Rattus norvegicus: one gene and its partners. The protein of the gene in region 1 purifies or fractionates together with the protein of each later gene. This does not show direct contact. Links are inferred from orthologs where the notes say so. Each region holds a gene or a part of one and is shown in the gene's direction. Other genes may lie near its edges. The genes, in order: Cdh5, Jup, Ctnnd1 and Ctnna1.

The links.
Region 2: the proteins of Cdh5 (region 1) and Jup purify together in Homo sapiens (affinity purification with western blotting; 3 studies listed by BioGRID and IntAct, with this or other methods). This does not show direct contact. The link is inferred for Rattus norvegicus from reciprocal best matches to the Homo sapiens genes CDH5 and JUP.
Region 3: the proteins of Cdh5 (region 1) and Ctnnd1 purify together in Homo sapiens (affinity purification with western blotting; 3 studies listed by BioGRID and IntAct, counting the BioPlex papers as one, with this or other methods). This does not show direct contact. The link is inferred for Rattus norvegicus from reciprocal best matches to the Homo sapiens genes CDH5 and CTNND1.
Region 4: the proteins of Cdh5 (region 1) and Ctnna1 purify together in Homo sapiens (affinity purification with western blotting; 4 studies listed by BioGRID and IntAct, counting the BioPlex papers as one, with this or other methods). This does not show direct contact. The link is inferred for Rattus norvegicus from reciprocal best matches to the Homo sapiens genes CDH5 and CTNNA1.

What each region holds. Positions count from the first base shown.
Region 1 is NC_086037.1:822,808-826,369, reverse strand, and holds the end of Cdh5 (cadherin-5), read left to right. Parts: intron 1-595; coding exon 596-841; intron 842-2,384; coding exon of another isoform or gene 2,385-2,387; coding exon 2,388-2,905; 3' UTR 2,906-3,063; downstream 3,064-3,562. UniProt on the Homo sapiens protein: Cadherins are calcium-dependent cell adhesion proteins. They preferentially interact with themselves in a homophilic manner in connecting cells; cadherins may thus contribute to the sorting of heterogeneous cell types.
Region 2 is NC_086028.1:85,824,601-85,828,752, reverse strand, and holds the start of Jup (junction plakoglobin), read left to right. Parts: upstream 1-1,323; 5' UTR 1,324-1,709; exon of another isoform or gene 1,710-1,782; intron 1,783-4,152. UniProt on the Homo sapiens protein: Common junctional plaque protein. The membrane-associated plaques are architectural elements in an important strategic position to influence the arrangement and function of both the cytoskeleton and the cells within the tissue.
Region 3 is NC_086021.1:90,099,680-90,103,241, reverse strand, and holds part of Ctnnd1 (catenin delta-1), read left to right. Parts: intron 1-517; coding exon 518-671; intron 672-1,474; coding exon of another isoform or gene 1,475-1,492; intron 1,493-1,936; coding exon 1,937-2,005; intron 2,006-3,028; coding exon 3,029-3,156; intron 3,157-3,254; coding exon 3,255-3,405; intron 3,406-3,562. UniProt on the Homo sapiens protein: Key regulator of cell-cell adhesion that associates with and regulates the cell adhesion properties of both C-, E- and N-cadherins, being critical for their surface stability.
Region 4 is NC_086036.1:27,001,223-27,005,437, forward strand, and holds the start of Ctnna1 (catenin alpha-1), read left to right. Parts: upstream 1-1,377; 5' UTR 1,378-1,443; intron 1,444-1,618; exon of another isoform or gene 1,619-1,952; intron 1,953-4,215. UniProt on the Homo sapiens protein: Associates with the cytoplasmic domain of a variety of cadherins. The association of catenins to cadherins produces a complex which is linked to the actin filament network, and which seems to be of primary importance for cadherins cell-adhesion properties.

The sequences.
Region 1 (3,562 bases):
CAACAGGAAGCAGGTCTGTTGGTCTCAGAGTCGTTTGCATACAAATGTTCTATATATTGGAGTCTCTCATTTCTCCCAATTTGCTTTTGGCTGTGTGGCTAAGTAAGTCCTCTGACCATTAGTGTTACAACCTCCCAGGAACCTACAAAAAAAAAAAAAAAAAAAGTAGACCATCTCTCCTTTGCCCATAGCCACTGAGTACTGAATAGCAGTGACAGCAGTGTGTGTGGGGGTGTATCTGTGTGTGTGTGTGTGTGTGTGTGTGTGTGTGTGTGTGTGTGTGTAAAACAATACAGCAATGAGCTGAGCAAAAGCCCCTGTTGGGATGGGTTTGGAAAAAGTGATGTGTACCCACTGACCACAGAAACAGAAAATTGGGGTCTTACACGCTGACTTGGCCACCCTTAGGCTGGGTCAAAGCAGTCACCCAAGTACATCCTCTGCAAAGGGACAAGCCTGTGCTTAAAGGGTTCAAACATGAGGCCGGGAAACAAAGAGGGCAATGAAATCACGCAGAAAGAGGCAGCTTCCCCCCATGGGACAAGAGGGCAGGTGCTCCTGGCAGAGCCTCACTCTGTGGTCTTGATGCTTGCAGACAATACCGCCAACATCACAGTCAAGTATGGACAGTTTAATCGGGAGCATACCAAGTTCCACTACCTGCCTGTGCTCATCTCCGACAATGGGATGCCCAGCCTGACTGGAACCGGCACGCTAACAGTGGCTGTGTGCAAATGCAACGAACAGGGCGAGTTCACCTTCTGTGAGGAGATGGCCGCACAGGCGGGTGTCAGCATCCAGGCACTGGTAGCCATCTTTCTGTGCATCCTCACCATCACAGGTCAGTGTCTCATAGACAGGGAGGAGACATTAAGAGGGCTTCAGAGAAGAGGCAGGGTTCTGGCCCTATCCTGCACTACTCTGGAGTTCACAGTTCTTGTATGTATAGGATACAGAGATATAAATAGGTAACCCCACTAACCTGGTGCTATATGGAATAAGGGAAAGGAGGATGAGCCATAAAATCATTCTTCAAGCTAACTCCATTTCAAATTAACCTGGTGTATTGCAGTGACAGGGTCACTAGCATGTGTCAAGCACCAGGTTCAATATCACCTTCAATTTCAAAACAAAAAAGAAAATGAATCTACACTTGGCATTCCTTCATTTGCTAAATATATTTTGAGTGCATACTATATTCTGGGTGTTGTTTGGGGCACCGATGTACATTAAAATGATTATTTACTGTATTACTCATCTATTTTGAGACAAGATCTCACTGTACAGCCCCTGACTGGCCTGGAACTCACTCTGTAGAGCATGTGGACCTCCAATTCACTTGCTTTTGCCCTCAGAGTGCTGGGATTAAAGGTGTGTGCCACCATTTCTAGCTTTAATTGTTTCTGAAATTCCTTTATAATGGAAAGTTTTGAGACTTCTAGCCTGGAATGTCGCTGGAGGGTTTTTTTTTTTTTTTGCTTTTTTAGAATTCCTCCAGAGTCCATTTTTGCTTTGGTTTGCATTTTTTTGTTTTGTTTTGTTTTGCTTTTGCTTTTGCTTTTGTTTCATTTTGAGCCTTGTCACTTTGGGGCACTTTAGGCTTCACCTAGGTCTGACATTGCCTAAGAAACAGATCTCAGACAAGGCTTTGTGAAGAGCAAGCTGCCAGGAAAGGCATTTTACACTAGCACCCAGCAGAGTCTGACTTCTCCCATTGAGAGCGGATGTTCCTTCTTGAAAGTACTTTCTCTATGCTGTACCAGCCCTGAGGCGCACACAGAGAAGCGAGGATGTCATGAGGTACAGGCAGCCTTTGCTCCAGGCCTCTGAACTTCCCACTGTGTGTGTTCATTTCCTGGACCTCTGTGCCAGAGACATTAGAGACTGACTTCTCTTTCATGGATGATGGTGGTGGTGGTGGTGGTGGTGGTGGTGGTGGTGGTGGTGGTGGTGGTGATGATGATAATGATGATGGTGATGATGATGATGATGGTGGTGATGATGATGATGAAAGTATTGATGCCACCCACATCACAGAATCGCAAAATACCAGTGTCACGGGGGCATTCAATGTATCCACACTGCAGACAGGAAAACTGGGGCTCGGGGAGGCCAGGGTCACTCTTTGTATTTAACAAATTAGTAACTAACTCAAGGCTAGAAAACTTGATGGCTTGGGTCTCATTGAGGGAGCTCTCCACAGCTCAAGGATCAGGGGACCTTCCCACACCCATTCCCACCCAGTCTTCAGTAGGTATATGCCACTGACTTATATTTTGGGCCAAACCAAATCTGTTTGCCCAGTCATAGTAGTGGCCCTGGGAGTCTAGGCTGATCCAATGAACCTGTCTGACCCACATCTCTTCTTCGGACTTCTTGGCTAGCAGTGATCACCTTGCTGATCTTCCTGCGGAGGCGGCTCCGGAAGCAGGCGCATGCTCATAGCAAGAGTGCGCTTGAGATTCATGAGCAGTTGGTCACCTACGACGAGGAGGGCGGTGGCGAGATGGACACCACAAGCTACGACGTGTCTGTGCTTAATTCTGTGCGCACCGGCTCCAACAAGCCTCTGCGGTCCACGATGGATGCCCGGCCAGCAGTATACACACAGGTGCAGAAGCCTCCACGACTGGCGCCTAGCCTGCACGGAGGGCCCAGAGAGATGGCCACCATGATCGAGGTGAAGAAAGAAGAGGCAGACAATGATGGCGGTGGTCCCCCCTACGATACACTGCACATCTACGGCTACGAGGGCACAGAGTCCATCGCAGAGTCCCTCAGCTCCCTGAGCACCAATTCCTCCGACTCTGACATCGACTATGACTTCCTCAATGACTGGGGACCCAGGTTCAAGATGCTGGCAGAGCTGTATGGCTCAGATCCTCAGGAAGAGCTCATCATCTAGGGTTTGTGGTCTTTGGGCCTGGGGACCCAATCTCATTGCAACCTGGATCAGACACCCGACATTGCCTTCCCTGATTTCCAAGGTGTGACACAGACTCTCCAACCCAGTGGCCCTTGCCTGTGGGTACCAAAGACACTTCCATCCCCAAGGTAGCAAATTTCAGGCCCCTTAAATATCCAGGAACAGAAACATATCTTATTGATGGCCACTCCAAAAAACTGGAAAAGCGAGACTAGTATTCTCTCTGGGATCCCATCCTGCCCCCCCCCCACCACACACACACACACACACACACACACACACACACACACACACACACACACTCCCAATCTATTCCAGACCTCCTGTCCCTTCAAAACTGCCAAGCAAAACTGACTATGCTAAACTTCTAGTCTTCCGCAAGGGTCTCCGAGCCCCTGGTAAGGCTATCTGTCTGTCTGATGGCAGAAGACTGGATGGCATGAGCTATTGAACAGGACTTCAAGCCCAGTCCAGAGGGAGGCTGTAACTGATCCATTATGCCTGCTCTCAGGAGGCCCAGCACTGCTGAGTCTCCCTCACATCTACCCAATGCCCAGCTACTCCCCAGCCCCTCCCCAGGCCTGTCCAGGGAGGAAGGAGACAGTCAGCTGCTCCTGACCTTGGGTCCTGAGATGA
Region 2 (4,152 bases), on another chromosome or scaffold:
CTCCACCAGGTATCAAACTCAGGTCATCACACTTGCCCAACTGAGACATCACACAAGCCCATTAAAGATTCTCTTAATGCGGATCATTTTGAACCCTCTTTGTAGACCAGGGTGGCCTCTAACTCAGAGAGCTGCCTGCCTCTGCCTCCTTGAGTGCCGAGGTTAAGGTTAAAGGCCCGTGTCACCACTGCCTGGCTGCCTGCTCCAGCACTTTTTAAGAACTGTCTCGAACGGACCATCTCACTGGCTTAAATACTGACATTCCTCAGCTGTTTAAGCTACAAAGTTTATTTAATCTCTCCAACCCAAGATAGATAAAGCTAATGAACCCACTTAGATACAGGGTGAAAAGTATACTAGCTGGCCTAAGGTCATACAAAGATTAAGGGGAGAACCCAAACCAGGCCTTCTAATTCTAAACAGAAGAGAACCGGGAACACTCCATCTTTTGTAGGGGGAGAAATCCCAACCTAGCACAAAGCCTATGAAATGCTTTACAAACATCTTATTACTATGTTGAGGCAAGAATGAATAATCCTGACGCTGAGTTGGCTGGCTAGTGAAGGCGTCAGTCCTTTCCCATGCTTCCCCCTGACTCACCTGTTGGACAGGTAGGGGGAAGGGGAGAATAATGAGTCTTACCTGCTCAGGGCTAGGGTGGGGCAAGTAACGCCCCACCTGTTCCATTGGCTTTTGCCTTAGTCTTACTGACAGCCCTCTGTCCAATCATAAGGAAGAAACTTTCTATTTGCCAATAGATGCAGAGTGAGGATGAGACCTCAAGTTGGCGTCCACCCCAGAGTCGACTGGCAGTCCCTGGGGCCAATGGTGAGCGCATAAACAGAGGCGGCCGTGGTAGAGGTCCCGGCGTGAGGCTCCGCCCCTCAATAGGATAGTCAGGCTGGGCAGCCAGTGAGATAACCTCAGAGGGTGGGAGTCTCCCTAGGGGGCGGAGCTTCAAGGGGGCGAGAGGTGTGGCTTGGCTGTCAGGTCCCTTTGCCTTTTGTTCGGTTACTGAGTTGCTGCCTTGGCCAGAGTCCGGAGCAGCCGCCGCCCGAGCGCCCCGAGCTCAGTTCGCTGCCTGCGCCGGCTGTCTCCCGGCCAGACCCGACCCCGACCCGGCTCGGCCCGGCTCCACGCTCAGGTACACCGGATAGGGGTACGTATCACTGAGGGTAGAGTAGGGCAAGCGGCCGAGAGGTTGGTTCCAGCGGTTTCAGGGCAGGTGAGGGCGGGTGCCAGGGAGTGCATCCTACACCAGCGACAGGGGGCGCACTGGGGTCCGGGGCACGGGACCCCTGGGACAAGCGATCTGGGTTGGAGCGCCCCTCCAGGCTCGGTGAACCGCAGGTCTGAGAAGGGCGGGGAGGAACTAGGGCAGGTGCCTCGGAGTTCGCGCCTCCCCCAGGGCCCGCGGAGCTTGCCCGACGCGGCGTCGCTGACTCTCCCCTGGAGCTGACCGGGCAGACTTTGACCCGCTCCGCCTGGTCCCAGATCCCACGGTGACAGGAATTTACCGCTCGGGAAACTTGCTGCCTAGTCTCTTTGGGGCCACCCTCACCCCACCCCACGCGTCATCCTCGCTTTCCCTCCCTCCCTACTCCCCCAGGCCTGGGTGGGGCCCTATTGTCTGCGCCCAGCTTACCCAACTGTGGGGGCCGAGTGCACATTTTCCCAGAGACGCGATTCCCACCTGCTGAGCAGAGCAGGTGAGCGCTTGGAGGACCGAGGCCCTGCCCTGTAGCTCCGAGCTGGACCTGTGGCGCCTCCCTCCGCTCTAGTGTACGCCGGTCTATGGCTTCTCTTACGGAGGTGGATGGGGTGACGGGGGAACTGGTGAAGGGTCTGGGCTCAGTGCCCTACCGATGTCTGTCTGACCTGGTGGCATGGCCTGGAGTCTGGGCCGGTAGAGAAAATTAAGAAACACTCGCCCAGATTTTAGTAGCTTGTGGTTTCCAGAGTGTTGGTAGGGAAACAGCGATATCTTTTGATTTCTGCAACCCATTATTGTTGAGAAATCACTCCAAACAAACTTTCCAGGAGAAAGTAACCGTGGGGGCCTTTTCTAGGATTTTCCCCGTCTCCTTGTTGAGAGCTGATTCAAGGCTTGGTGGTACTTCTTAGAGGAAAGCCTCTTCCCTGGTCAGCTCCAAGCTGAACACAGCCTGTGCGCTTTGACCCGGTTCTCCCTGCCCCCACCTCCATCCTGTTTGCTAGGCCCCTAAGGCCCGAGGTAGGGACCAATGGGGGTGGGTGGGGGCGTTGCTGAAAAGGGAAGTGTCTTCTTCCTTCCCTTTTCGCATCCTCACGGGACCACCACACCCCCTTATATGAGGCCTGCTAAGTGCCTCTCCTCCCAAGCTCTGCCCCTTCCCCAGGAATGGGGTTGGGGCAGGGCTGGGCCAAACTAGGAAGATTGGGAAGAGTGATTAATCTTTCCCCAACTCCCCCGTTCCATCCCCCAGCTTATTTAGCTGGCTGACCATTGAGGCAGGGTAGCATAGGGCAGGAATGTTGCTTGCTGTTCACTGGGTTTGAATTATGAAGGTGCGTCCTTTCTAGAGGACTTGCCAGAAGTCCCTCCTCCACCCACTCTTTAACTGAGTGTTTGGCGGGGAAAGTGGGACAGGAGGAAGTCTTTGCTATGGAAGGCTTCTGCCATGCCAGGCACCCTCAGGGTGAACAGTGTGAGCCCTCCCCTTGGTTCCCTGTGCTGAGAGCTCCTCTCCAGCTGGAATTGTCAACTTCTACTCGGCTTGCTGCACTCTTCTGTACAAATCTGAAGATTGGCCTTTTCATAGGCATTTGGAGTCCAGTCTTCTTGGGGGGACAGAGCAGGAATGACAACGCTAGCGGGGGGGGGGGGCAGAGGGAAGATGGGGTGGGGGTCGTGAGCACTGTTTGCTCTGATTCTCCTGGAAGCTGAGGTGGTGCTTGGTTGTGAATAGAAGAGTGGGGGTGGGAGACATATCCCCCGTAATCTCGCCTTAGGTCCTGTGGTTGGTAAAATATGTGTGACCACCTCTAGGAAGAACTGGGGGCATTAGTTTTAGGCTCATGTCCTCTCCGTGTCAAGGAGGAGGAGGGGTAGGCATTGTCATTAGGTGAACTAAATGAATAGTTTAGCAAATCTGGTTCGTGGCTCTGGTGAAAAGACAGTACTGAGGAAGAAGTAGGGCTATGAGCTGCCCGGCCCAAGCTGGCTTCTGACGGACAGGAGGGAGGGGAAGCAAAGGTAGGATCCGATTAGTCATTTCTCACCAGATCAAGTCTGGGCTTGGGTGACAGAAGCCTCCCCCGCACCCGAGCTCCACCCCATTCCCTCTGGAGCCGCCGTCTGGCCTGCTAAGGTTGAGCTTGGAGAATGCAGCCTGTGGGAACGGAAGGTCAGGCGGGGCCTGCTTGACTGTTTTCCTTCCTGGGGGCCCACAGGTCATTGCCTATGAGAGGGAGGCCTGTCGTCCTGCAGAGCTGCTTTAGGACAAGGTGACACATTTGGCTGGTCCACAGAAGGACAGTGATCTAGGGAGACAGTCTAAGGGGTCAGCTCTGAGAACAGGGACTTGGACTGAGATAGTTTGAATCCCTGAGCAGTGTCTCCTTACCTGTGCAGCCTGCGTCAAAGCACCTTCCTGGCTCAGCGACCTCAGGAATTAATAAACCTAGCTACCCAGAAAGTACTTGACTGATGGTAACTCAAAGCCAGAAGACTGTCTGGTACCAAGCGCCACTAACCATGCTCACAGAGGCAGGCGCACTTTTTTTTTTTTTTAAAGATTTATTTATTTATTTTATGTATATGAACACACTGTAGCTGTCTTCAGACATACCAGAAGAGGGTATCAGATCTCATTACAGATGGTTGTGAGCCACCATGTGGTTGCTGGGAATTGAACTCAGGACCTCTGGAAGAGCAGGCAATGCTCTTAACCACTGAGCCATCTCTCCAGCCCGAGGCAGGCGCACTTTAATGTCTTCTTCAGAAACTCAGGGAAGGATAGCAACTTGCCCAGTGTTGCTAGACTCAAGAGAGGGCTAAGCTCAGACCTCATTCTGCTGTTAGGCTCTACTACAACTCTGGAAGGATTTCTTTTTTCTTTCCCCTTTTTCTTTTGGCTGCTAAGGACCAAATCCAGGGCCTTGTGGATTTGC
Region 3 (3,562 bases), on another chromosome or scaffold:
CCCTCTTACTCTTCTGAGACACAGTCTCACCTTGAATCTGGAGGTTGCTGTTTAGCTGGGCTGGCAGCAGACACCTTCAGCAACCCTGTTCCTATAGCACTGGGTTCATAGGTGCAGTCAAGGTCAGTCCGACTTGGGCAGTAAGTGCTGTCAATGACTGAGCTTCCCTTAAGCTCCAAAGATAGTTTTCTTTAGGTGTGTGTGTCCCATATATAGTTAAGCTGCTTAGTAGCCTTCCAGATTATATATTTTCTTAGTAGAAAAAACAGTGACCTATGTATTGGGTCACCAACTAGTTGCAAAAGCCATTAAATGTCTATAATTAGTCCTTCTATTTGCATGAAGATAAGGATTTTGAGGATCTTGAGGTTCTTACAAGGCAATCTGAGAGAAGACGGATTGAGTCATGCATTTAGGATTGATAGTTTAATACTCAAATCATGGAGACTTAGATTTTCTTGGAAACCATCATAAGCATTCTCTTTTCCAACTGAACCTTTTCTTTTATGTCCCTAAGCTTGTGGAGAATTGTGTTTGCCTCCTTCGGAACTTATCATATCAAGTTCATCGTGAAATCCCACAGGCAGAGCGTTACCAGGAGGCACTTCCTAGTGTGGCTAACAGTACTGGGCCACATGCTGCCAGTTGCTTTGGGGCCAAGAAGGGCAAAGGTGAGTCTTATCTAGTTCCTATTCTTTAATATGGGGCAAGAGGAACACTTAGCTTTATAGGTACTTAATAAATAGTGTGGAAGTCTCCCTATGGAGATGTGTCCTTTTGCTCTGGTGGTGGTGGTGGTAGTGGTTGTTGGTGGTGGTGGTGGTAGTGGTGGTAGTGATGGTGGTTGGTGGTGGTTGGTGGTTGGTGGTGGTGGTGGTAGTGGTGGTAGTGATGGTGGTTGGTGGTGGTTGGTGGTTGGTGGTGGTTGGTGGTGGTTGTTGTTGTTGGTGGTGGTGGTAGTGGTGGTAGTGATGGTGGTTGGTGGTAGTGGTGGTAGTGATGGTGGTTGGTGGTGGTTGGTGGTTGGTGGTGGTTGGTGGTGGTTGTTGTTGTTGGTGGTGGTTGGTGGTGGTTGTTGTTGTTGGTGGTGGTTGGTGGTAGTGGTGGTTGGTGGTGGTGGTGGTTGGTGGTGGTTGGTGGTAGTGGTGGTTGGTGGTGGTTGGTGGTGGTTGTTGTTGTTTGGTGGTGGTTGTTGGTGGTTGTTGTTGGTGGTTGGTGGTGGTGGTTGGTGGTGGTGGTTGTTGGTAGTAGTGGTGGTGGTTGGTGGTAGTGATGTGAGGATGGTGATGATTGTTAGTGTTTTGGCATCTAGGGCAGTGAATGACAAGAACTGAGCTAAACTGGGGCCTTCCTCCCTATTCTTCCTCCTCCTCTGCTTTCTTGTGTACTTGCCCATGATCCTGTTGACATCTTTCTCCTGCGTTTTCTTCCTTCATTTCTCTCCTCGCTTTCCACCTTGGTGATGCACTGGAAGATGAGTGGTTCTCTAGAGGTAAGTGCAATCTTTTAAGGCGCTTGTCTGCTAACTTGCATGGTTTGGTTCTTACCTTTCTTAATATCTCTTTGTCTAACCCTTCCCTGTGGATGCATGTAGGAAAACTTAGTTGAGGAGAACCATTGGAATCAGTTTAAACCTTCTGGGTTGTGGTTTTGAGATGCTGTTTCTGGACAGCAGTCCATGTTATCAGAACTGAGTTCACAGCATCCGGAGTGGCCTTCCTTTTATACAGTTTACTGCCTGTTTTGGTCCTCCTTGTTTCTGCATCATCCCTGTTGGGACAGTTATGTGTGGGCTTTCCCTTCTTTTGCTTCTTTTGATGCTGCATCTATGATCTGAAGATTCTGACTGAAGGATGAAAACTGTCAGGTCGAATCTTTCCTTTTAAAAAAAAAAGTTCTTTACCCTGTTCTCTCCGCCCTTTCTCCATTTTCATAGGGAAAAAGCCTACCGAGGATCCAGCAAATGATACAGTGGATTTCCCTAAAAGAACTAGTCCTGCTCGGGGTAAGCTACCCTCCTTATTCTCTGTCTCTAGAGAATTTGGATATGGTAACATGTTTTATGCACTATGTGAACATTTCTCTCTGACTGAGTAGATTTGAAGTGACAGTAAAAGTGTTGGGAAAATTCATTCACAAGTATTTAGTCTAGAGCTAGAAACTAGGCTGGGTATAATGGTGCATGTATGCAACCTTAGTACTTGAGTAGCTGAGGCAGGAGAACTGCTATCAGTTCAAAGCCATGTTGGGATCCACAGGGAGAGCATGCCTCAGAAAAACATAAGAAAAGAGACTTAGCTATCTGCATGGCCACTGCAGGTTTTTGGATCTTGAACCTTACTGTTAGAAGAAATGCCTTTATCTCAGCTTGGATGTTTGGATCCAGTATATTAATGAATATAAACTTGCTAGCTTTCTATAAATATAAAGGTTGATAATTAAATTATGTTATCTCAGGCTGTTTATCATTTAGTCATACTCATGATGGGGACAATGATTGAGTTAAATTAGAAATAATTTTTTGTTTCAGATGTTGAATCATTAGGCCTGGTTGCTTATGGAACAAACAAAGCTAAAGTTAGCTATGAGGTACAAGTCAAGGAGAAAGGAGAGAGGAATTGAATATAATTGCGTTGCTGTCTATTCTCTTTTTTACCATGGGCTAGTAGTAGTTTTTTTGTTTGTGAGTCAGCACCACACCATGTAACCATGGCTTCCTGGAACACTTGTCTGTAGACCAGGCTGGCTTCAAACTCACAGAGATCCGTGGTACATGTGTTGTCCTAGTACTCACAGGTTAAGACAGGAAGATTATGAGTTTGAGGCCAGTCTGCTTGACATTGCAAGGCCCTGTCTCAAAAGACAAAACAAAAACCCGAGAAGACAGACATGAAATCAAGCCTCTGAATTTGCTCATGACTGATAGGGAATTCGAGGGGCCTGATGATGGAGAAGCAGAACTGCAGGCAGCCAGAGCCTGGTTTGTAGGCATTGATTAGTGATTTCTGTTTTGCCCTTTCCTGTGCAGGCTATGAACTCTTATTTCAGCCAGAAGTGGTGCGAATATACATTTCACTCCTTAAGGAGAGCAAGACACCTGCCATCCTAGAAGCCTCGGCTGGAGCTATCCAGAACTTGTGTGCTGGGCGCTGGACAGTGAGTACCTCTAAGAAAATGGATTTGGAGATAGGGAGTGTAGATAACTAGTTTGCTACCATTTGTAATCTTTTTACCGCTTCCCATGTGTTTCCTAGTATGGCAGATACATCCGCTCTGCTCTTCGTCAAGAGAAGGCTCTCTCTGCCATAGCTGACCTCCTGACCAGTGAACACGAGCGAGTAGTGAAAGCTGCCTCTGGGGCACTGAGAAATCTGGCTGTGGATGCTCGGAACAAAGAGTTAATTGGTAAGGATTTGAACTAGTGCCTAGCACAGTGCCTGGAATCCAGCAAACGTTTAGTCATTTGTTGACATCACTGAGGAGAAGGATCTTATAATCCTTCATAGTTTATATTTCTGAGTGTTGAAGGTTCATAGTTTTGTGGATCTTACAAAAGCAAGAA
Region 4 (4,215 bases), on another chromosome or scaffold:
TCATTACGTTCTGACATAGTCAAGTGAAGTAAGGGGAAAGCATAGACACTGCAGTCAGAGAGGACTATGGGAGGCAAAACCCCAAAGGTAGAAACAGAATAAGTGGTTGGACAAGAATGGCCTTGTGAAGGTATGTCTTTTTTGTTTTTGTTTTTGTAGTGCTGAAGACTAAATCCAGGGTATACTAGGCAAGCACTTTATCACCGAGACATCTCCAATTGTCTTTTCTTAAAATTCAAATTATTATGTGTTCTATGTACATGGGTGGATATGCCATCTGTACCAGTGTGGAAGTTATAGGGCAACTCTGTGGACTTCATTCTGTCTTTCCACAACTCAGGTTGCGAGGATAGTTGTTGGCAGAGTGGCAAACACCTTTACCCACAGAGCCATCTCTCTCATTTTCCCACTCTTTTTAAGAGGCTCTAAAAGACCAGGTGTAATGGTGCAGACCTATAATATAATCTCAGGAGTTGCGGGGGTGTGCAGGAGGATTAGGAATTCAGGGTAAATTGGCACTTGGGTAAATTCAATCCCCAGGATCCACATAGTGAAAGAGAAACCGCACGTCTTGATTTCCACACAAGCTCAGAAACTCACGGATCAGAGATTGGCCTGTCTCTGCCTCCGGAACACTGAGACTAAAAACATTGCTGTAATAATAAAAAAAAGTTTTTAGGTCATTCTTTCTTACACAGCCAGTTGGAAACCGGCCTGAGCTATGTAAGACCCTACTTCAAAAATAAAATAACACAACAAAACAAACACCACAAAACAAAAGAAAAAAAGACCAAAACAGATCCTGAGGTTCCCGTTCCACTGTGCCCGGAGAGGTGGAACTTTTACTTGGTGTGTTTCTTCTCCTAAAGCAAAGCAGAAGGTTGCCCCCTTTTCTGGACGCCTTGGACTAGGATACGGGGTACTTGGTCACAGCAGTGCGTTCCGCGAACCCTGCGTCGCCGCGCGGTCTCCGGGAGCCGGACGGGGCGGGGCCTTCCGGGGCCGCGCCCCGAGACTCACCTGAGCCGGGAGCCGTGACTCACCTGCCCTCCGCCCGCCTTTCCCCGCCGCGGGCTGTTCCCCGAGTCTCCGCCCCTCCTTCCCGTCGGGGGTCCGGGGTCTCCGTGCCCAAAGGCCATACAAAAAGGACTTCTGGGGGTCCGGGCCTGGAGTTGCCAGGCTACCTTCCGGGTGGGAGGCTCTCCCTAGAAAGCGCCGGCTGCGCCAGGCCGGGACCAGCGGTGAGGAGGCCTCGGGAGGCGCCGGGAAGAGCGCGCGGAGGGAGGTGCCGGGAAGGGCGGGCGCGGCGCGGCGCGGGGCGGGCCGGGGGCGGGGGCGCAGGGCGGCCCATTTCCTCCTGGGAGCCGGACGGGCGGGAGACAAAGCGGTGGCCGTCGGCTTGGCGCCTCAGGAGTCGTCCAGCGCTCGCCCCGTTCGCCGCAGGTAACTCTTCGTACCTTCCCTCGGGGTGCGCGGGGCCCCCTGGTGGGGCGCGGGTCTCCTCAGGCCGGGGTCCCGGGTGTCCGGCTCGGGCTTTCGGCCGCCGCCGCCCTGGAGCGTCGGGTTAGGGCGGCTTCCCTGAGCAGCCTGGGCCTGGGCGGGCGGAGCCCGACGCTCGGGAAGCAGGGCGACCGCCGGGGCGCTTCCTTGGAAAACTTTCTCCCTCTTTCTAAACTTTGTTCCCGGAGCAGGGAGCGCGCGCGGGATCGGCGTCGCGCCTCAGGCCGTCTCCCTCACTGAGGGACAACCGCGGCGTGTTCCTGGCGGTCGGGCTGTGGGGCGCTTTAGGGACGCGATTGTTTCGAGGATTTGTGTCGGCCACTCCCCTCCCCCTGCCCGCGGCTGAAACTTGGTGGTTTGCGGGACTAGAGGTCGGAGGAGCGGACATTCCAGCCCGACCCATGGAGAATGGAAGTCGTAGTTTCCTGTTCTCCAGCGCTCTTTTCCTTAAGGTGCGCCACACCCGTGTGGACTTGTGGCATGGAGTTTAATTTTTATCTTAAAATTACTCAGCCTCTTTTGCTGCTAAACCTGACTGACATTACTCTTAGTTTTCAGGAGTAGCATTAGAGTTACTAACATTTGATTACTGAGAGCGGATCTTGCTAACTAAGTAGCCCAGTCTGACCTGGATCGCTCGGTTTCCCTGCCTCAGAATCCCGAGGGCGGGCATCGCCAGCCTGCGATGTCAATGACCCGCCTTTCGACTTTAAAAGGAACTTGTTAATATGTGTGTAGAACTTGGGGGGCGGGGATGTTGTTGACTGGATTTGTAACCTTGGTTTTCAAGCAGTGGCCACCCCAATAATTCAGTGAGCGGTTGGCTCAAATCGAGGATTGATACTTCTGTGCCTTCATAACGTTTGGTTTTATTTTAAGTGTGCGTGTGTGTGTGTGTGTGTGTGTGTGTGTGTGTGTCTATGGAACTTAGAATAATTTATGCTGTAAATCTGTTTCATCATTGTTTTGCATCTTTTAGGTGTTTTAAGAAGGTTATTTTGTGTTTAGCGTTGGTTTTTAAAGACTACTGGTGGATGTTACCTCATGAAATGGAATTTGTTTTGTTTTACAAAAGGATTGAGTGGGGAAATAATTGGTGGCCTCTGTTTAATTGTTCATACTTCCTGCCTTAAACTAAGCTAAAAAAAAAAAAAAAAAAAAGACCAGGTTTTTAAAATTCTCTTTGAGGCCTGGAAGCTTCTCAAGTGTCATATCCTTTTTTCTTTTTCCATTCTGGATCTCACTGTGAAGCCTCAAACTAGCTTAAGCTTCCTGAGTGTTGGGGTTTAGATGTGTGCCATCACACCTGTCTGGGTCATATTGTATAATAATGCAAACAACAGAAACTTGTGGGAGCATGGTTGGGGGTGTTAACTAGGTTTATAAGCTGTTCTGGAAGGTGGTGGCTTTTGAACTGGGTGAAGCATGAGTTGAAGTAATGCGACAGAAGGAATAGGGAAATCTAAAAGGGCATTTAAGTGGAATGGTGATATTCTGGTTTTTTCCCCCCTTTACTTTTCAACCCCTCCTTTTCTTGCATATGATTCTAACCAAATATATTGGTTTCCAATATCAGTTGTGTGACACCCATCTCCATTCCCATTAGAAACATTTTATATGGTGATCAGAGATGAAGGGTGGCTTTTTTCCCCTCCTAGTTGAGTATCACTCACCGCCTTGTGCCTTTTCTCATCAAACCCCACACTGTTGTATTGGAGAACAAACCTAGAGCTGTGCTTGCTAGGCATGTGCTCTATATTTGAGCTGCACACCCCTACCTCTGTCATCAACCTTAGCCGCAAACGTCCAGTTTTTTATTTTGAGTGTAGTTTCTCTCCTGACCCACATGGGTCTCCTTATATCTTGTAATTTTAAAGAAAGTCACATTAGTGATAGTACAGCTAGCTCTCCCTGCTTGTTGAAGGTGTCGGTGGTTGTGTACTGGCTGAGACCTAGACAGGATGAAGGAATAGGATCCGAAGCAGGTGTAAGTAGCCTGAGCATTGGCTAGGCATTTGGAGGCCTACAGGTTTAGAGGAGATCTGTTTATTGTTAGTACTGAAGTAGGGAGAAGGTTGCCAGGGAAGGCAAAGGCCAGGTCACAGATTTAGATTTTATTCTAAAACTGTAAGATGATATAGGGCTTTCACGATCTGAACATTGTTTTATTCCTTGCTGGTGCTTAGAGAAAATTTGAATTGGTGTGTGTGTAAAGGCAAGGAGTTAGTGGGGAAGGTCATGTGGGTAAAGGTGACCTGGATGAGTGGAAAGGATCCAGATACAAATTGGGTAGAGGTGGCATCCAGGCATCTGGGTAAAGCTTCTGAAGCATTGAACTCTTTTCTCAAGAGCCAGCGTTTTCATTTCTGGTAGCAAATTTTGTGTTTAAGTTTTTTAGTAACTTCTGTTTGCGTTGTAACTTATTGATAGCCCTGTTTGCAGGCCTTGTTGGGAAGTGAGCCCTGTAAATCTATTCAAGGCAAGGCTCATGCCCTCTCCAACCTTTGGTTGGTATCTGGTAAGGAGGGCAAATTAGATGCTGCACTGAATGAAGGAGGAAGAAAGTCTTTCTCAGTCTAAGCTTAGGGCAGTCAATGACAGATGAGGTAATTGATTACAGTCTAACTGCTGTTCAGGGCAACTGGAGCTTTCTTCAACCTTGCCCTGCCCAAATCTAGTCAGGGACAGGATCCGCCCTAGAGTGTTTTGTTTACA